4 linked regions of the Saccharomyces cerevisiae S288C genome follow. Changing the gene in region 3 together with the main gene of any one other region gives a genetic interaction. Each region holds a gene or a part of one and is shown on either strand. Other genes may lie near its edges. The genes, in order: MSA2, ARO10, ARO8 and CTP1.

Region 1 (5,050 bases), on a different chromosome or scaffold from region 3:
TTAATACAGCTTTCTGGTCTTCGACGTCTTCTTTTTTCAGTGAAAAGTTTTTTGTACTTTGGATCTTTTTCCAATAGCCTATTATCAATGGCCAGATCTGTTTGAAATTTCGATCTTGTGGACGGTGTGGCCATATTATCTTGTACATCTGTCTTACTATCCTCATCATCACTTATGCTAACGCTAACACTCTTGACAGACCTTTCGGAGTCGTCTATGGATATCTCCCCTTGAACGACAAATTCGTTCACTCCAATGCTTGGGCTCGCATGTGACGCCTTGTCGTTCTCCATATCTAATCTGTAGGGTTGCAGTTCTGATCTGCTGTTCCATGTATTCCCTATTGTGTAACTTTTTCACATAAGCGCAGTGCATTTTGCTTCCACTACACAATTTAATGGGAAAAAAAAAATATTGAATAGAATTAATTAAATAAAGTTCTTCGGTTTTGAATATATAATGAAATCTTACGTAGTGTATTTTACGAAAACCAAATGGACCTACTCTCTGGAGACAAGTTTTCGTAGTGCCATTGTGGCATCATCTTTTTCTATAGGTAACGAAATCATAGAAGATTTCATTATATTATTATAGGTCTGTTCTGAAAGTGCACCATTATGATTATTGGCGTTCTGGTCCACAGATAGATAGTCCGATCTATCTGAGTAATTGGCTGGATTAGAGTCCTGTGGAATCACCTCATCTATGTGCGGTAGTGAAGGGCGTCTTAACATCGATGCTTGAGCAAAATTTGAATTGAAGTGATTGTTTGCAGATTCAAAATTCGTCGTTCTTGGGGGTGACATCAAGAGACTGGTGTTCCAGTCCGATATGGGAAGGGGATCTATTAATCTTGCAGGAGACCTGAATTGCCTTGGTGATGATTGAAGTGGTAGATTAAAAAGAAATTGGTTGGTATTATTTGCGCTACCGTGATTATTATTTATGATGTTACTGGCGGAATTACCCTGTGAATCAGCGGTTGTGTTAGGAGACGTGAAGTTTTCAAGTAAAATTCCATCGAGATTGGGAGTGAAACCTGTTTTAATCTGAAATGAAGTAAAGTTTAGATTTAAATTGGAGTTTGCATTCGGAGTTCTTGGGGAAGCTAACTTTTTGGGAGACGGCTTTATGATGTTGGACACTAGTGGTGAAGGTGCAGTAGCTGCTGGTTGCAAACTTGTCGTAGACTTTAATGGTACTTTACTATATTTTTTGTTGACAGTACTGCTCTTGTTTCTCATTTTTTTCAACAAAGATAATATACGAGTCTTTTCGACACGGTCAGAAGTAACAGGCTTTTTCTTTGGTACAGGTTTCTCCATTTTCGATGTATCAGTGGGAAGGACGTTTATAGGCCCCAGTATTGTAGCCTTACCATTTTGCCCAATAGACAGTGAAAATTTACCGAAACTGGAAGACCGGCCGTGAACCTTCATTGAAGACGATGACACAACAATTGAAGGTGATTGGTAATCCAATGAGGAGGGCGTTTGCATTGAAGGGGCTCTGATTGGCGAGAAGATAAGAGTGTGGCTAGATTGCGGTGTGGAGCTGAATCTCTGCTGTTGTTGCGGTGTTGTGTATACCATTGATTGGTTTAAAAACTGCTTCCTTGCTAAAATCTTTTGTAAAACGAAACCGATAAAGAAGAATAACAAACTACAAAGTAGAAGAATGAATACAGCTGTGCATGAATGTCATATTATGAAAATATTTCATTGCGTTAAATATAATTTCCAGGCCTTTTTTTGCACTTTAACGCGTTTCGCGTCAATTACCCAATTGAGTATAGAAAAAGAGGCAACTCAGGGAGATTATAGACATTTGATTATTTAATTACAGCTTGTTATAAAGGACGAATATCTGGCTTGGGTCCCAGGGGCGTAATTCCCAAGGGGTTGATCCTTGTGTGGGAACGCGTGTAGTGTAACTTGATATGGTCAAAATCTGTTGTGTACCTGAAGGCATCATAATTCCAGTATAAATTTCTTACCCACAAATGAATAAATGGATATCCGGCTCTAATAGAGGTAAAATTGCATTTGAAATGTTGGACGTACACAGGATCGAATCTTATGACGGTAGTATACAATCTAATGTCAGCTTCTGTTAATTGATCACCCACAGTGAAGAACTCACCCAAGATTTTTTGTCTATCTTCTTCACCGTATTTGGCCTTCAATTTGGAATATTTGTCACTCAGGATTTTCTCCACTTTGTCCAAATGTTCAAATACGTTGTTGACTTCACTTTCGTAAACTTCTGCTTTCTCTGCGAATCCGGTCTTGTATACACCATTGTTGATGCTGTCGTAAACCCAAGAATTGAAGTCATCGATCTGTGTTTTCAACTGAGCAGGAACAAGGTCCGTTTTCTTGTGATCGTCGTCGACAAATTCATCGAACGCACTAGAGTTCAAAATCCTTATAATTTCGCTACTTTCGTTGTTAACAATTGTTTGGGTTTCTAAGTCCCACAGGACTGGGACGGTGAACCTTGCCGAGTATTGAGGATCGCTCTTGTAATATAAGTCACTGATTCTCTTGTATCCATAGTGAGGCTCATTGGTAGCATCAACCATGAATCTTTGACTGTCATTCTTGATCTCGGCGAAGCTCTTGCTGGAATCCTCTTTAGCAGTTCTAATACCACCTGCAACATCGTGCCAATGTTCCAAAAAATCTTCACTGTCCTCCAATTGCTTTTCCATGTCCAAAAATCTCCATCCTTTCTCGTCAAGGTGCCAATGGACTACGCTACATCCTATAACAGAGGTTAATCCCTTCAAAGCCCTCGTAATTAGTGTTCTATGGGCCCATGGGCATGCAAGTGAAACATACAACCAATATCTTCCCTTTGCTGGCTTATAAATTGGGTGTTGCTTAGAGATTGTTTCTCTGAAGGACGAAACCTGTCTTTTGAAAGCTCCGTTTGTACCACTCGCCCACTGTTTCGACATTTCTTATTTATCTTGCGCAGGGTTTGGGTAAATTCTCGTAAGCACTGTAGTGATGGTAAGAGCAGCGTTACCTAATTAACTACCTTTATACAAGAAATGGAAAAGGGTTGAGAGGGGTTGGACGCTAAGACAAATAAATAGGGGTGTGAAATTTCAAGAGCTGACTAATATCTTAGTAACGGAGAACAACAGAGAACAGATGATAAAACTATATTGATACGTTCAAAAGGTCTTAGGACCGTCTGAAGAGGTGAAATAAAGATGGAAAAGTTTGCGTCACCAAGCCTTTTGCGTCGGTTTCCTCTGTAACACTTTTTAATTCAAAGTGTTAAAATCTCAACTGTATACCCTCTAATTTGCATAATAATGAAACTAAATGTAAAAAAAAAAAGGAAAGAAAATCACTCCATAATCAGGGTAATGAATCATTTTACAGTGTCATTTGCATGTTCATACACATACCCTTCTTGACAGAATGCAGGAAAAGCCTCAACTATTTATCGGACACATTCGCAAATGTCCATTGACGAGTAAAACGTTTCCGCGTCACTACATTCGTCACTACACAACTTTAAAATACCTTATTTTTTTAATTATGCGGAGTAAGTATCTTTGCAGAACTAGATGGTTGGATTGAGCAGTAGGCATCAGTGACTCGAATTGGTGCTCATTTTTATTTTAACGTACGATTTGTTCAGGCCTTGCTATGACAAGCTTCCTGACGAAATCATACTGCAAGATACATAGTCCCAGTCCATAAACTAGTAGAATGACAAAAAGAAACTCAGAACATACATAACACGATAGACAACGTATTCACGGTTTTGAACCCCACGTAGTATCCTTCTAAATGGCATTGCCTTTACCACATGAAAAACTAAGAGAAGAAAGCTCTCTGCACTAATCATTATAAACGACAGCGGACCCGGAAGCGAGTACCCGAATAGGCCGGGGAAGGAAAAGATAGAAAGGAATCTTTTTTTCTTCCCCCCGCTCTTTTTTTTTATGCTTTTTGGGGTTTTTCCGGCAACTTTCAACAGAAATGCCGTAGCCGGAAAAACCGAAAGCGGGGGACAGTGAAGCGTGAGAGGGGCGAGACAGGGGGAACTTGAATGGGGTATTTTGCTTTTGCTGCATTTTTTCCGCTGGTACCTCTATCTTTAGGCGACCGGAAAAATTCATTTTCTCATCTTTTTTTTTTTTTCGTTTCCGACTCGATACTCTTTACAAAGAAACCCCCGCGGGGAAATGTTAGATTTGAGCTTTTTCCGCCAGGAAAAGAAAAAACCTGGGGACATTAATCTTGTTTTTTCTTTCTTCTTTTGTCTTCCCTTGGATGACTGCAGAAAAAGTACAGTTACCGGGTCTTAGCAAAAACAAACATATATATATATATATATGAAAGCGTATGGTCAACACGGTTTTATAGGTTTTACTTTTTGCATTCAGTTCAACTTTGGCCCTTTCTCTTATCGCATTCAGATACTACACACAAGTGTTCATACACACACAAATAGATACATATACAGAAAATGACTAGTTTGGACGATACAATAATTTCGTACCAGAATATAATGTTACTGGATAACATGACCAACTACAACAAGCCTGCGATTGACTATTTCCATCATGAATTTAATGATGCAAGCTTGGAAATATCGGCTTCATGGACACTACTATTGAAGATGCGCAAACATAAACTACTTCGATTACCAAGTTGCTCTTCAGAGGACGTGCTAGATTACAACATGTACCTCGTTAGGCTACATCATTGCCTCTGGAGGCGTTGGTCCATAAATCACTATGGTTTACAGAACTCCAAATCCAATCCACTGTCCATCAACTGGAACAAAGAAACCGATGTAACGGTGTTGTACGGTCCAGATTTGACTAACATAGATAGTAATGAAAACGAAATATCGCCGGTCCAGAACCAAATTGACCAGAAACAAACAAAAAATCTAAAATCTGCTTTAAAGAAAAATACGGAATGCTGGGTAACCGAGGAGGTGGATGAGATTAACGCTTCTATAGAGAGCAATGACAACGCTTTGGTGAAATTAGAAGACATTTCATGCCCATCGTCTG
Region 2 (5,985 bases), on a different chromosome or scaffold from region 3:
TGCACTCATATCTTTTCGAACGTTCATGAAAGACATGTTTCCCATAGCTATTTTTTGAAAATGGTGCCATTCGAAACTGAAAGCTACTCCCTCTTGAAAGGATACAAAATTAATTGATCCTTCCACAACTTCAGTATTGGATGATACGCTTATTAAAAATAGGAACTAACTATCACGGTCGAGGCGACACAATACGCCAGCTTAAAAATGTAAGATTGACAGATTAGCAGATAGTCAGATTGATTTGAGTTAACCCAGCCAATAAGAACAAACCCATTCTCAGTGGTAGCTGGTAATTCCAACCTTATAGGCCATGATTTGAAGTATTGAAAAAAATTGGTATGGTTGGCTTATGAAAACGATACTCTTTTTGTATTTTCTCTAGCGAAGTATTTCGGACTCTTTCTTCATCTCTAAAAAGAGAATTCTTGATCAAAAGCGTGTGCCATATCCTTCCTTACAAAGAATATTTCTCGTATCCACACGAGACGATGCGAGTAACTAAACAAATAGCTCTCATTTCACGTATTAACATACTCTTACAGCATCCTGCTTAATGTCCCTTGGCAAACCTTCGACGTTGACCTTGACCTCTCTAGTGGTGTCCAAGAGCTTGGCAACTCTAGCGACTGCGTTTGGAGGTGCCCTAGTATTTTTTCTGATAGGGCCTCTTCTGTTTGGAAGGCTCCTACGTTGGCTACCAACTTGCTTACCAACTCTTCTTGGACCGTTACCACGAGTACCACCGACACGGGCTCTATTACTTCCTGCTTTGTTAGAGCCAATGATTTCGTCTAAGGATTTATCTAAGTTAGCAGACATTTAGCAGATGTAGGTATTTTCTTAATATGGATTTCTTAAAGTTTCAAATAGAACGAGGGAGATTTTTTTATCTATTTGTCTTCGATAGTTTTCGGATAAAACTTCTTCTAACAAAAAAACCTACTACTAAACACACGATAGGAATGACAGAAAAAAGCGAACGGAAGAAGTGAAAAAGGATAAATTTGGCGGCCTTTTATAGTTCTTCAAGTGGTGAGCCGAAAGCCGTGGAAAAACAACACGTCTCCCCGCCCCTGCCTCGTCGCGAAAAAAAAAATACTAGCAACTGGACAAAGAACTCTGTGGTAGTGGTAAAATAGCTTTAATATACGTATTTACTTTGTAAATATAGTTACATAAGGGTTTTTTATGTGTTAATGAACAGAAAACGAACAATTGGTAGCAGTGTTTTATAATTGCGCCCACAAGTTTCTATTTTTTATTTCTTTTAAGTGCCGCTGCTTCAACCATGCACTTTAGCTGTTCGGGGAAATCCAATTCGCCTAATTTGACTTCTAAAAGTTCTATCCCGCTTCTTTTGTTTGAATTCTTAAGCTCCTCCAATTTCAGTGCTAATTTAGAGGGACATTGAATGAGAGTGCTATTAGTATACTTTCCGTCGAAGTCTCCGAATGCTTCAAATAGTTTGGTCCATTTCCAAGACATAACGTCGTTATACGACCTGGTAGGGCCCATGATGGCTCTTTCAATAGTGTAGCCGTTATTGTTCCAAATGATAACTTCTAGTGGAATATTGCACTTCAGAATGGTGCTCAGTTCTTGGATTGTCATCTGTGCTGCACCGTCACCTTCAAACAAAATTAATCTTGGCTTATAGTCCTCTTTTACGTTGCCACCATTGATGTGAGCGTTTGAGTGGTCTTGCATGGCAATTCCAACACCTAGGGCGGCAGGAAGGGCCATGCCAATGGAAAGGAAAAATCCTTGCGATATATATTTTAATTGCGAAGGAAACGCGAAATCACGAACAGAGAATTGAAAAGAGCCTGTTTCACAAACGACAACATCACCAGGGTTCAAAAATTTAGGCATCGTCTTTTGTAAGTGAACTTGTGTAATAATGCTTGATTGTCCATTGGTAGGATCTTCTAACCGCATTGTTTCGTTCGTATATTGAGTTACATTTGAATCATATTGCAAAGAAAGTTTAGAAACGTCAATGCGCTTGTATAGTTCTTTTAAAATAGGGGCAAAATTGATTCCTTTGAACATTTGCTCATTGCCCTGCCTAGTGTCCACAAGGCGAATATAATTCGGATGAAATTGAATGATTTTAGCATTTGGTTTATAAGTAAAAGTATAATGCCCATTATTAATTTCATTGATGTCGACTCCAAAATGCAAGACCAAGTCGCACAGTTCAAAATGTTCATAGACTTGTTTTAAACCTTCTTTACCATTATATTGACCCATATAAGTTGGGTTTGACTCATCAATTACAGATTTTCCCATAACAGTGGAAAAATTCCAAATCCCAGTTTTGCAGATAAGCTTGTTCAAAAAGTTACTCACACCATACCTATCAGTCAGTACGTCTCCAAGGATCGCAGGTGTTTTACTGGAATATATCCAACTAGTAATCTTGTTGATTATGTCAGACAATTGGTTTTCAGAAGGGTATACTATACAATCTTGTTGAGATATACGTGGAACATTAACCAAATTATCACATGTAACAGACATATCCGCAAAATCTGCAGGAACAAAAATATAACCAGGTTTAGAATACTTGTAAATATCGCGGATAACATTATCGACTTGGTCACATGCAGTTTCAATATCCTCCAAGTAGGCTACCGAGCAAGCGACTCTATCTTTTACCATATCATGATATACTTTATGATTTGGCCCTTTAAAATTTGAATCATGTAGCTGTGGGACCAAATGATGTAGGTTCCGATCACTAAAGTTACTTGAACGCGAATCTATGGACTTGGCCACACCAACAATGTGCAAAACTTTGACATTTTCAGCGAACGAACCGGCTATACCGTTCAAGGCGCTTAATTCACCAACGCCATACGTGGTTATTAAACAGCCAATCTTATTAGAGTAACGGGAATATCCGTCGGCCGCATAAGCGGCGTTCAGTTCATTACACGTGCCGACCCATCTTAGGCCAGCTGATTCAACACTAGGTGAATAGAGATATTCTAATAGAGATAAGTTGAAGTCACCAGGAACACCGAAAACTGATTTCGTATCGATGGACAACAATCTTTTAAATATGTATTCACCAAACGGAATTGTTGCTGATCGGTTGGAAACAAGGTGTCGTTCTTCTTGATTTACGAACTTTTCAATTGTAACAGGTGCCATGCTTAAGGGAGTTTCTTTGTTATCTTGTAAATAAACTTTACAGAAGTCGCGTCAACTTGTTTTGAGTATCAAGTTGAGAGGGTTGATCAGTTAAATATGTTTTATATCAGATTTTATGTAGTATTAATAAACGCAGAAAAAAAATGAAAGTGAGCTGCCGCTGTAGTGACGATGCAAACTAGCCCAGTTTATATCTTAAACTTTACTCAACACAATAAATAAGATGCCACTAACCTATTACATACCGACACTTACCGAAGGTATCAAAGCTCCGCCGCACAAAAGTACGACAAATGCTCAGCATGACCTCGGCAATTTTCGGTAAATGACGGCTATCCGCGGTTATCCCTCCCGGTAGGTAACCGACACTTTGGAGAGGATTCGCAAAGGCTCAAAGTAATATATGACGGCTTTTTCAAAAAATAGCCTAAGCCTACTACCAAATGTTAATAAGGAAGCTACATGAGGTGTACAAGCATCGAATTTTGGATTATCTTTTTCGCTAAGACGTTGTTGTACGCTTTCAATCCTGCTTTTTTAAATTTCGGTGGACGAACCAATCTAAAATGTAGTAAAACTGGTAGATGTTAATTAATTAACCTTGCAAAGCCGAAGAAAAAAAGGGGTTCGCCAAATTATTCTTAACAAAGATAATGTAGCTTAAACACACAAGAAGAAGAGGAGACGCAATACCAAGAGCATGCCTAAGAGATTAAGTGGGTTACAAAAAGAAGTCTTACACCTGTATAGGGCTTCCATACGAACGGCTCATACAAAACCAAAGGAAAACCAAGTTAATTTTGTGAATTATATTCATGAAGAATTTGGGAAGTATAGAAATTTGCCAAGAAAAGACTTCACCACCATTGAACACTTGTTACGGGTCGGAAACAAAAAAATTGCCACCTTTTCACACCCTGAACTGACGAATATACATTGAACTATTTTCTTACTTTATTCTTTTTTCATATGATTTCTTATTTAATCTATCCTATGTTTATTTAACTTTTGCAAATCTGTATTATGCTTGCTTAAATATGTCTCTATAGTTTCCAAGTATAAATTCCACGATATAATTCCTCTCCTTCATGTCCACAATATCTTTCTCGCCGTCAAAATCGTGGATAAGACTCGGTGCAAAGACCAACGACAAGTTATGTAAGTTCATTAAATTTCTTTCACTGCACCTTCGAACTTTGCCGATATGTGCTGCCAATACTTTCAATACTTCCTGATGCTCTACGGGTAAAATTTTGAAAATTTCAAGTAGGCTTTTGAGCACCATTTCATAAATAGTCACTTTTTGTGGTGAATCCAAAAACTTGTCGTTGTTTAATGGTAGCCTCTCAATTAGTTGGTTATTTCTAACTAGATCTATCAAGGCATCGTATATGGAAAATGATAAAACTGGATCTGGTAGTTTTCTCAAATATCGTTTTAATACGCTAGCCACTGCATGAATATCTTGATTCAGTAAAGCATTCAGTTTGGGACTTAATGTATCACTATGCAACGAATTATTCTGAGCGAATTCATTTTCGATCTCCTCAACCAAAGTCTGTGAGCCCGACTTTCTGTATAAGCCTTCCATGTTCAGGCCTATATCATCTTTTTCAATGCGATCAATGCAGCACCTGATAATTATTGGAACAGTACTTTTTTCATACGCACATCGAGCTTGTAGCGAAGATCCATATAAATGGGAACCATCAGGCGTATAATCTAATCTCTTTGGACTTGGCGACAGTGGTACTTTGCCTGGAGAAGGAAGCTCATCGTGTACTCGAATTAATTTCGGTGATGATATTTCTTTCTGTGCTATATTTGTCGTTCCGCCTGAAGATGAATTTGGCGAACGTTGCTGTGATTCTAGATCGCCTACCTGGTGATCCTTAGCACTTGAAAATATTTTCCAGAAGCGTGGTTTAGGACTGGCATTAGATATGCTCCCTTTTCTGTCGGAATTTGAACTTGGTGACTTTACAGTGATTGATGTTGCAATGTTTTCTTTTTGTTCTAAGGACTCCCGGGAAGATGCAGATTGCTTATCCTTTTCTCTTGTTAAATTGTCAACATCATTTAACAGCCTCTCTTTCGCTAATCTTAGATTTTCAACATCTTGTAATAATTTTTTCTTCGTACCTTCTAGTTCCCTCACATCTAATTTTAACTTCCTTAAAGTCAACTCAGTAAAGTAAAAGTCCTTTTCCAAGCTTGTAGCGCTTTCATCAGTAGCATCCACTTTCGTGGAATCGTCTTCCAACAATGCATTAGTGGATCTAGACGTCTGTAAGCTAGAAGATCTGTGGTGTGCGGACTCAGATGACAGAGATGGCCTCTTAAATAATGGCCCTGATTCCAAAGGCGGCGTACGGAACATTGCTATATGATGCCCCGAGCTTGAACTTGTAAATGAACCATTTATGCGTCTATTAGTGGCTGTATCATTAGAATTTTGCTTTTTGGATATACTGCCAAGGCTGCTTTGCGCTTTTTTGTGATTAAACTCCGGTACTGTAAAATTTCCATGTTGTGGTAGAGTATTGTATATTGTACTGTCACTTTGGCCTCTTGATACAGGATTTTTTTTGGCTTTTGATTTTCTTATATTTGTATGAGTAGAGGAAACACCCCAGCCAGAATGAGTGTCTGATTCCTGTATAGAAGTGCTGTGATGGGGATGCTTTGGGTCCAGCATTTCCGAAGTTTTACTTTTCAGGTTGTGAACAAAATTTTTGGACTTCAAAGAAAACGATCTTGAAAGTTTTTTGTTTGGAGAGGGTGCTACTTTTTTATGCGGCAATAAGTTATCTGCTGTTTGAG
Region 3 (5,589 bases):
GCTGCTGGTTTAACAGCTGCGGTTGTGAGAGATGAGGAAGGAGGTGATTATACAATTGAAGCAGGTGCTTTAATGCTTGCTGATAACGGTATTTGTTGTATCGATGAATTTGATAAAATGGATATTTCAGATCAAGTTGCCATTCATGAAGCTATGGAACAACAGACCATCTCTATTGCTAAAGCTGGTATTCACGCTACTTTAAATGCAAGAACATCAATTCTAGCGGCTGCCAACCCGGTAGGTGGAAGATACAATAGGAAACTATCACTGAGGGGTAATTTAAATATGACCGCACCGATCATGTCCAGATTTGATTTATTTTTTGTTATTCTTGATGACTGTAACGAAAAAATTGATACCGAATTGGCATCTCATATCGTTGACTTACACATGAAAAGAGACGAAGCCATTGAGCCGCCATTTAGTGCAGAACAACTACGTCGTTATATCAAATATGCACGTACTTTTAAACCAATATTAACGAAAGAAGCCCGTTCCTATTTAGTCGAGAAGTATAAGGAACTGAGAAAGGATGATGCCCAGGGATTTAGTAGATCGAGTTATAGAATCACAGTTAGGCAACTTGAAAGTATGATTAGATTATCAGAAGCTATTGCGAGGGCTAATTGTGTCGATGAAATTACTCCATCATTCATTGCAGAAGCTTACGATCTTTTAAGGCAAAGTATTATTCGTGTTGATGTGGATGATGTGGAAATGGATGAAGAATTTGATAACATAGAGAGTCAAAGTCACGCCGCTTCTGGAAACAATGATGACAATGATGATGGGACTGGGTCAGGTGTAATTACGAGTGAGCCACCAGCAGATATAGAAGAAGGACAAAGCGAAGCTACAGCTCGTCCAGGTACAAGCGAGAAGAAGAAAACAACGGTGACGTATGATAAATATGTGTCCATGATGAACATGATCGTTAGAAAGATTGCTGAAGTAGATAGGGAGGGTGCAGAAGAACTAACAGCTGTGGATATAGTTGATTGGTATTTATTACAGAAGGAAAATGATTTGGGTTCGTTAGCAGAATATTGGGAAGAGAGAAGATTAGCGTTCAAAGTCATAAAAAGGTTGGTCAAAGATAGGATTTTAATGGAGATTCATGGTACCAGACACAATTTAAGAGATCTTGAGAATGAGGAAAATGAAAATAATAAAACTGTTTATGTTATTCATCCAAACTGTGAGGTTTTGGATCAATTGGAACCACAGGATTCCAGCTAATTCAGTGCACTCTTGCGGATTTTCATATTTCGTTTCAAGTATCGTTCACGTTGTAAATTCCTATCGTGTGCATTTCTCTTTGTGGGAGAAAAATATCTTACATAACTTGGCTCTCAAATCAAGTTATAATTGTTGTATAAAGTTGTACTCTTAATGAAAAAACAAAATATTATATTTTGGCTTCCACTTGCAGTCTTTTACAAAAAGAAAAAATACTTCGAAATTTAAGCAATACAAAAATACGTACGTCCTTTTTTCACCTTATATATATTCTTCCAACGTATTTACCTCTCTATTTGGAAATACCAAATTCTTCGTATAAAGTATCACCTAATCTCTTCAGACCTTCAGTCAGTTTCTCAGGAGAGACAGCTGCATAGGTACCTCTGAAGAAAATTATGTTTGGATTACTGACTTCTTTAGATTCAGCGGGTTGAGGAGGTTCCGTCTCACCCTCACTCTTGAACCAAGAACCGGGAACCACTAAAACACCACGTTCAACCACTTTGTGGTAAAGACTCTGTTCTAGCTGGTAAGGGTCTGAGTTGTATTTTGTTTTAAACTCAGGGTGGACAGATGCGTCAATGTTCACGGTGAAAAACATACCTGCAATTGGAGGATTGATCACGAAAGCATCAGATTGTGGTAGATACTTGTAAAGGGCATCGATGGCACAGTCACGTTTCAAAGTGTATTCATGACGCAGGCCAAGCAACCAGTCCAAGTAACCCTTTTGACCCCACCTGGATAGCGTAGCGTTGACCAAAACTTGTGTAAAACCTGCTGGGGCTTGAATCGTCATTTCATGCAAACTCAAGTAAGGCTTCAAGATTTTGGATGAACCAGTAATCCAACCCAATCTTGTCCCTGGGGCCAAAACTTTTGAAAAGGAATCCATTCTAATAACACGGCCTTCTGTATCCAAGGAAAGGAAAGTGTTTGCCAAGGACTTCAAAAATTCGTCATGGTCCTGCTTTGGAGAACTTTGTGCCTTCTCTCTTTCCTTCAAGTCTTTGATGTAGGGATTCATTTGTAAGAAATAATAAGGTTCATCTTCCACAATTAGGAAGTCGTACTTTTGAGCGATCTTGTAAATTGCCTCCTTTCTATGGTCTGCAATGGAAGTACCAGTTGGATTTTGGCCCGTTGGAATAGTGTATAACAACTTTGGTTTAGGAGCACCAGGTGTCCAGTTTTCCATGACTTTAGCTAATTTTTCAGGAATGATACCATCAGCGTCAATTGGCACGGGGAAGGTAATGACACCTTGAGCCTCTGCAGAAGCCAATGAAGAGGAAAAAGAATGTGCCTCAACTAAGATGACATCACCTCGGTTACAAAAGACTCTTAAAGTAGATTCCCAGGCATTTGTGTTACCTGCAGTGGCTAAAACGTCCCAGTCCTTATACTTCAAATCGTGGATAATCTTGGTATGATCTCTAATGAAGTTTAATAGTTCAGGTTGACCAGCACTGAACCCGTATTGCAAAGCTCTTGACAAAGGAATATCGTTGGAAGGATTGGCACTTTTATCAGCGTAATCTTTGTTGACGGTGTATTTTATGCAATTCTGCTCGTCAATTGGAGCTCCAATACCCTGGGGAAAAGGAGGCTTGGGTGAATCTACAGATAGATTATCCCATGGGAAATAATCTTTTAATGGCAGGCCACCACCCAAAAAGATAATGTTAGGATCTTGGAAAAGATGGATGCAGGTTTTCAATGGGGATGGTTTACGAGCATTGGTTTCATCCGAAAACAAGTAAGAAAAGTCTTTTGATTCAGGTAAAGTCATGATAGTAACGATCGGTTGTCCTATTCAATGTCTGTATCAACTGCAGGGTTTAACTTAGTGGAATGGAAAAATAAGAAAAAGAAATAAGTTCTTAAAGATATAACCAAACCAAATATATAGTCTAGAGATGTGTATAGGAGGGTCTACAAGATAAGAAAAAAGATTGCGATACACATATCTTCAAATGAAATGCGCTTAATATTAGTCATAGATTGGACCTCGAGAAAGTGAAAAAGTGCAGAGTGAAAAATGTGATAAAAAAAGGAAAAAAAGACATCTAAGGTAACCCGGATGTTCTTCATTATTCCGGCGCAATTTAGTACTGTTCTTCTATCAATGGCAATTCAGAAGCCAGATTCTTGAATGAGGTGAAGGAGAACAATGGTTATAGGTTAATTAAGAGATTTTTGGATGGTGTATATGAGCCATGTTTAATCTTGGAAAAATAGTGAACCGGGAAAAAAATAAAGAAGAACTCCTCATAGGGGGCTCGAACCCCTGACATTTCGGTATCCTTGCTTAAGCAAATGCGCTTAAAAGCCGAACGCTCTACCAACTGAGCTAACAAGGATGAGTTCTTCGGATTTCTTCGATAATAGTTTTAGTTAAATATACATTATGTTCACATAATGCTATTATTTAATGCACATGTTAATGGACGGTAAACTACTTATCATTTATTGCAACAAATGAAAAGACACCACCCTAACAGCACGAAAAATGATGTTAATGTCTTGTATAGTATTGTCGGATAACTAACTCTCGTCTCAACAAAGCTTAAATAAGAGCTGAGAGATTGGTGAATTTTAAGATGATTGTAGGCATTTCATTGTTGATCAAGGCTACAATATTATGTATACAGAATATACTAAAAGTTCTCCTCGAGGGTAGAGGAATCCTCAAAGGGGAAGCGATATTTCTACATAATATTATTACGATTATTCCTCATTCCGTTTTATATGTTTCATTATCCTATTACATTATCAATCCTTGCACTTCAGCTTCCTCTAACTTCGATGACAGTTTCTCATACCTTATGTCATCGTCTAACACCGTATATGATAATATACTGGTAGTGTGACTACTAGTTTATAGACGATAGTTGATTTTTATTCCAACAGGATCATTTTGTTAGGTGAGGAATTGCGAGCTTTTTGGCTATAACTTTCAAGTTTTGTCACCAACATTTATATTTGCTTACTGCAGCCCGGAACCGAAAAACAATGTGGAAAAAGAAAAAAAAGTGGAATATTTTGATAATATAGGAAACATTAAGAAAAGCGATTTCTTATCATTGTCTTCAACTCCCATCTATTTGAAAAAGCTTGCTGAAGCATACTTTGGTTAAAGAGTACCTTGGCTATAGAATACCGTAGAGATAAAGACCTGAATAGATGTTTTACAATAGGTGGCTCGGAACGTGGCTAGCCATGTCTGCTTTAATAAGGATCTCAGTATCCCTTCCGTCATCTGAGGAGTACAAAGTGGCATATGAGCTGTTGCCAGGGTTATCTGAAGTGCCAGACCCTTCAAATATTCCACAGATGCATGCTGGCCATATTCCTTTACGTTCCGAAGATGCGGATGAACAGGATAGCTCTGACTTGGAGTACTTTTTTTGGAAGTTTACCAATAACGACTCTAATGGCAATGTCGACCGTCCCTTAATTATATGGTTAAATGGTGGACCCGGTTGCTCTTCCATGGATGGTGCCTTGGTCGAATCCGGCCCTTTTAGGGTGAATTCAGACGGTAAACTTTATCTAAATGAAGGGTCCTGGATATCCAAAGGCGATCTTTTATTTATCGACCAACCTACTGGTACTGGGTTTTCTGTCGAACAAAATAAAGACGAAGGTAAAATCGACAAAAACAAATTTGACGAAGACCTAGAAGATGTGACCAAGCATTTTATGGATTTTCTGGAGAACTATTTCAAGATTTTTCCAGAAGACCTCACTAGGAAAATCATACTATCGGGTGAAAGTTACGCTGGCCAATACATACCATTCTTTGCCAATGCAATTTTGAACCATAACAAATTTTCAAAGATCGACGGGGATACATACGACTTGAAGGCGCTATTGATTGGTAACGGTTGGATTGACCCCAATACACAGTCCCTATCGTACCTTCCGTTTGCTATGGAGAAGAAACTGATTGATGAAAGCAACCCCAATTTCAAACACTTAACGAACGCACACGAGAATTGCCAGAATCTGATAAACTCTGCCAGTACAGATGAGGCAGCCCATTTTTCGTATCAGGAATGTGAGAATATTTTAAACCTTCTATTGTCTTATACCAGGGAATCTTCGCAAAAGGGAACAGCGGATTGCTTGAACATGTATAACTTCAATTTAAAAGATAGTTATCCATCTTGTGGTATGAATTGGCCGAAAGATATTTCCTTTGTCAGTAAATTCTTCAGCACACCTGGTGTTATTGATTCGTTGCATCTTGATTCTGATAAAATTGATCATTGGAAGGAATGCACTAATAGCGTTGGAACTAAATTGTCTAATCCTATTTCAAAGCCATCTATCCATTTA
Region 4 (5,012 bases), on a different chromosome or scaffold from region 3:
TATGCTAGAATTTTGACGATTATATTCTTTCTGATTAGGTACATAATAATTCATTAATATGGAACTAATCACAGATATGGGTACTTGGATGAGAAAACACCACCTCCAACCAATGCTCGACGCTATTGTGCCACCGAAAGACGCTCCACATATGGCACCAAATCCCAAAAGTAAATTCTGAAACGCTTGAAAAATTCCTCTTTTCGAACTTGGAATAACGTCTGAATTTACGATTGTAGAAAGTGTGATCAAGCCACCACCTCCTATGCCTGTCAATGCTCTCATAAAACTAAGCATGTAGATGTTTTTCGAGAAACCACAGGCTAGACATCCAATGGTAAAAGCCCCATTAGCAAAGAAAAGGCAGTTTCTTCGACCAAGTGCATCAGAAAATGACCCATAAAGAGGTTGAAAAGATGTTGATGTAATTAAATACGCAGTGGTGATCCAATTTGAAATACTCATCTGATTAAATTCGTTACCAATCGTTTGGTACGTCGAAGCTGTAACGGTTCCGTCAAAACCGGACAAAAAGACATTAGAAAAAAGAGTAGCTTCAATAATCCATCAATTTGGGATTCTTGAAAGCGCTATATCTTCGCCTTTGTCCAAGTCCTCATCTAAGTCTTCACTGTAGTCGACAGAAGGAATTTCAGTCTCTTCAATACTGCCATAGTTTCCATCCTTGCTTTTCGGTAGTACTTTGTGTTTACTAGATTTAAGCATTGCGAAAAAAAATCTGATTTGGAATTAATGTTTCATTTACTACATTTTAAAGCATTTTGTACCATTCAGAGGCAAGAATTGGCCAATACTGTGTGTTCTTATAACGATAACTAGTATATATATTCTCGAAATTGTATATTTCTGTGGATTTGCACACAATCATCTAATAGCAAATTAGGAAGAAAGCCACACATGCACATATATCGCATCACTTACCGAGCCTTAGAATGTGGTTGCCACACATTAGGACATGTTACCCCCCGCACCTAGCAGAAATATAGTATTAATCTATCAGTGCTCAACACAATGTGATATCAGTACAATTCTTCATGCCATGGTACGTCGTCTCTATTTTCTTTTATATTCTGTTTATTATATCATGTTCTAAAAATGTCATATATACAATTCTGAAAAGGTTTTTGACCCTTACGTAACGCTATTCGGTCAACTACTTGTGAGACATATATTGTTCAAATATGTAAATGAAGAAAAGTACGCCTATTACTAGGATCCACAATACCGTAAAGCCTGTTAAACAAGGAGGAACAATATATATATCATAATTTTTTTAGAAAGAAAAGCCAAAGAAACAGCATTTGCAGGCACAAATCCGTGATAATAATGCATAGAACAATATGTGAAACCCCACAAGGTTACTGGTCGGATGATGAGCGAGCCCAGAGAAACCAACAGACCTCTGTAAACATCACTATGCCTTATCACCACACTTTACCATAATGCATTGAAAGTGCAATTGGAGAAGCCACCAATAGACGAGCTATGATGATATATTTAGCGTCCCTTAAAATATCGACTTATACAGTGGATAACATTTCCGCTCGCATTCCTCGAAGAGCATTATTTCCAAACTACTGTTGAAAAAAAAAAAATACGAAGACGACGCTTACCTGAGCACCCAGGATGTACACTTCGCCACAAATTTTGAGAGGCCTTTTGTTGTGATATTAGTTGAAATATATAACCACTTAATCAGGCAAAAAGACAGCAGTCACTATTTCAAGTTGGTAAAAAAATCCTGTTTTCGCTAATTGTCGATTTGGCCTTTCACCTGGACTTGAAAGCTTCAATTACGGCCTGATACATTCATTCTTTATACTGACCTTTGCCCAATTTATTATCCAGAACTATAGCCATTAGGTTGCAGGCCACTGGGACCACCACTGACTGGAAAATATTCTATTGACGAATTTTCCGCAACTCATCGCTGATTAGTTTATGAACTTATCCCGTCGGAATGAGAAAGTTACATATGCAGGAATTCTCTACAAGCAGCAATAACATGCTTTTATTTTACTGTCGTATTGTAATTGCTTATTCGGTTCCAAACATGTCAGCTATGCCAATATTTTAGAAGAGTGGGAAAAAAAAGAGATGTTATAGACGAACGACAAAAGTTGTGAAAAACTCGAATGGAGTAATGGAGCAAGAAACAAGAATCTGTCATAGTCAATACGTGATTTTGATATGCTTTCAAGCTTCTGAGAACTTCATTCATTACACTCCACCACATATACTATACAACGAATAGCCCAGTCGAAGAGGTTATGATTGTGTTCATTTATTTTTTTACATGACAGAGTCTCCCTATTGATACTAAGCTTGCTGCAATAACTCTTCTTACTAAGAGGTAACTTACATCTTGACTTTTTAATGAAGTTCCCAGCCGATTACCATTATACGTCGCCGTTTCGTTCATGTAAATATTCAAATATACTACACTTTATATCTTTGCTTCTTATATTTTCGCGCGTAGGTTTGCCTAATTACATTTTTATATTCCTCATCAATAAAGCCGCCAACAAAGAGCACAGGGTAGAAACTCTGCTGTCTGGGAACTCGGCTAACGCTTGTAAGCTATTTAATATTCTCAAATCATTTCAACACCTCTTTTTTTTTTTTCAAATATGTACTATTTTCTCTATTTCCATTAAGTTAGTCTTACTGAAGAGTCAAGAATATGGAAGAATTCCTGCGGAATTTTCAATTATTAGAAGTGAAAAAAAAAAAAAAGAAGAACAATGAAATTTAGTCTCACTTTAGCGTGATATATAAAACGTAAAATGTCGAAGCCAACGTAAAATTAAAAACATTTTGATGTCACAATGAAAGAACTCCAAAGTAGAGCTTGAATTATAAATTAGCATTTTACCGATGTCCAGTAAAGCTACCAAAAGTGACGTAGATCCATTGCACTCGTTTCTGGCAGGGTCCCTAGCCGGTGCTGCTGAAGCATGTATAACATATCCTTTTGAGTTTGCCAAAACAAGGCTGCAGCTGATTGATAAGGCCTCCAAGGCATCAAGAAATCCTCTGGTATTGATATATAAAACTGCAAAAACTCAGGGCATTGGTTCCATTTATGTCGGATGTCCCGCATTTATTATTGGAAACACCGCTAAGGCGGGTATTAGATTTCTTGGCTTTGATACCATTAAAGACATGCTAAGAGATAGTGAAACTGGAGAACTAAGTGGTACAAGAGGGGTGATAGCTGGGTTAGGTGCGGGACTATTAGAAAGTGTTGCCGCAGTGACTCCTTTTGAAGCAATCAAAACTGCTTTGATCGATGATAAACAATCTGCTACACCAAAATACCATAATAATGGGCGCGGTGTAGTACGAAACTATTCATCATTAGTCCGTGATAAAGGATTTTCTGGTCTTTATCGTGGTGTTTTGCCAGTTTCCATGAGACAGGCCGCAAACCAAGCCGTTAGATTGGGTTGTTACAATAAGATTAAGACCTTGATCCAAGATTATACGGATTCGCCAAAAGACAAACCTTTATCATCCGGGTTAACCTTCTTAGTGGGTGCATTTAGTGGTATTGTGACGGTCTATTCCACCATGCCCCTTGATACTGTGAAAACAAGAATGCAAAGTTTGGATTCCACCAAATACTCCTCTACAATGAATTGTTTTGCAACCATTTTCAAAGAAGAAGGGTTAAAGACGTTTTGGAAAGGTGCTACGCCTAGACTTGGGAGATTGGTCTTGAGTGGTGGTATTGTTTTCACTATCTATGAAAAGGTCTTAGTTATGCTAGCCTGAAATGTATTATTGTGTACAATATATCATCTAATGTTTTCTACTCGTTATAAGTCTATTTACCAGCCGATCACTTAAAAAAGTTATATATCTCTTTTTATCATAATGAAGAAGATGGCTTATGCTTGATTTTGACTTTGGTTGAGGTATTTCTTTTCCAATTTTTTGACTTGAATGTAGTCGTATATACTCTTCAGGGTGATAAATAGCCCAAGAAATGCCACAAAAACAGCCAACCATGGTATGTTTTGTTTTTCTTCATCCAGACCGTGATTCAAATGTGATTCAAATTTATCTTGTGTCGTTGATTGTGAATTTAGACGAACATCATCGAATTCATTTGGATCCTCTAATTCCATTCTATTTAAGCTTTTATTTTTGCCGACTTTTGAAGTAACATCATTGGGAATCATTGAATAACCATATCCAATGAACGTTAACCCTAATCCAAACCTTGAACCTTGCTTTGCTGCGTGAGATGTGTGTAAAATGTAGGTTATTAAAAATCCAATGAACTGAAAACTCGTGCTTACGATGATATTCCATAATAAATTTGCTATATTTCCTACAGGAAGCCCCTCAATGCATATTTCGTCGTAGTAGATATCTGAATTGTTCAAATCCATTCCATAATACGAGGGGGCCATATCAGCAGCAGCTTCGTCGTATGTAGGTGGTATGTCTTGTTCGTTATTACCTTCAGTCTCTGTGGTATCTGGTTTTGCGCTTAAATTGCTAAAGACACCATCAAACATGGCACCTTGTTGTATATCCGAAGACTGTTGTGTACGTTTCTTAAAAAGTCTATCAAGAATATTAAAATGTCTTCCTATTTTTCCTATATGTCTGGCTGCTTGTTCCCTCAGCTGGTGTGGTACTAGTCTTTCTGTCGTACTATTTCCTCCACTGCTGCTTCCCTCGTCCTCTATGCTATCTTCCTCGTCAGACCCTATTTCCGTTTCCCCTTCTACGCCAGTTTGTGTGTCTCTAGTTCGTCCTGCGTTTCCGACATTTATGCCATCAGTAGATGAACCTGCATGAAGTGTATTCATTTCTTGCCCTATAAGTAGTTCTTGCTCTGGCATAGCGCTTAGTTTCCTAGACTACGTGTTCTTGTTATTCTCATGCTCTTTTTATGTATCTAAATTGGAAGATTTTTATAAAGGTTATGTACTATTCTTCTAAAAAAAGTAGGCGCAAAGGGACTCCGCATCGTA

Evidence for each region.
Region 1: mutations in ARO8 (region 3) and MSA2 together harm fitness more than expected from each alone (negative genetic interaction), as found in Saccharomyces cerevisiae (2 studies listed by BioGRID).
Region 2: of ARO8 (region 3) and ARO10, changing one enhances a phenotype caused by changing the other (phenotypic enhancement), as found in Saccharomyces cerevisiae (2 studies listed by BioGRID).
Region 4: mutations in ARO8 (region 3) and CTP1 together harm fitness more than expected from each alone (negative genetic interaction), as found in Saccharomyces cerevisiae (2 studies listed by BioGRID).

Annotation. Positions count from the first base shown.
Region 1 is NC_001143.9:580,195-585,244, reverse strand, and holds MSA2 (Msa2p), read right to left. Parts: upstream 1,593-5,050; coding exon 501-1,592; downstream 1-500. Other genes in the region: VPS501 (sorting nexin family protein), read right to left, coding at 1-293; ECM4 (S-glutathionyl-(chloro)hydroquinone reductase), read right to left, coding at 1,850-2,962; YKR075C (uncharacterized protein), read left to right, coding at 4,495-5,050.
Region 2 is NC_001136.10:1,231,395-1,237,379, reverse strand, and holds ARO10 (phenylpyruvate decarboxylase ARO10), read right to left. Parts: upstream 3,163-5,985; coding exon 1,255-3,162; downstream 1-1,254. Other genes in the region: RNA-binding protein YRA1, read right to left, coding at 538-822; SDH6 (Sdh6p), read left to right, coding at 3,863-4,102; GTPase-activating protein RGA2, read right to left, coding at 4,184-5,985. UniProt on the Saccharomyces cerevisiae protein: One of five 2-oxo acid decarboxylases (PDC1, PDC5, PDC6, ARO10, and THI3) involved in amino acid catabolism.
Region 3 is NC_001139.9:113,507-119,095, reverse strand, and holds ARO8 (bifunctional 2-aminoadipate transaminase/aromatic-amino-acid:2-oxoglutarate transaminase), read right to left. Parts: upstream 3,038-5,589; coding exon 1,535-3,037; downstream 1-1,534. Other genes in the region: MCM DNA helicase complex subunit MCM6, read left to right, coding at 1-1,242; KEX1 (serine-type carboxypeptidase), read left to right, coding at 4,432-5,589.
Region 4 is NC_001134.8:782,459-787,470, reverse strand, and holds CTP1 (Ctp1p), read left to right. Parts: upstream 1-2,898; coding exon 2,899-3,798; downstream 3,799-5,012. Other genes in the region: VBA2 (Vba2p), read right to left, coding at 1-465; YBR292C (uncharacterized protein), read left to right, coding at 2,398-2,769; BSD2 (Bsd2p), read right to left, coding at 3,915-4,880. UniProt on the Saccharomyces cerevisiae protein: Transport of citrate across inner mitochondrial membrane.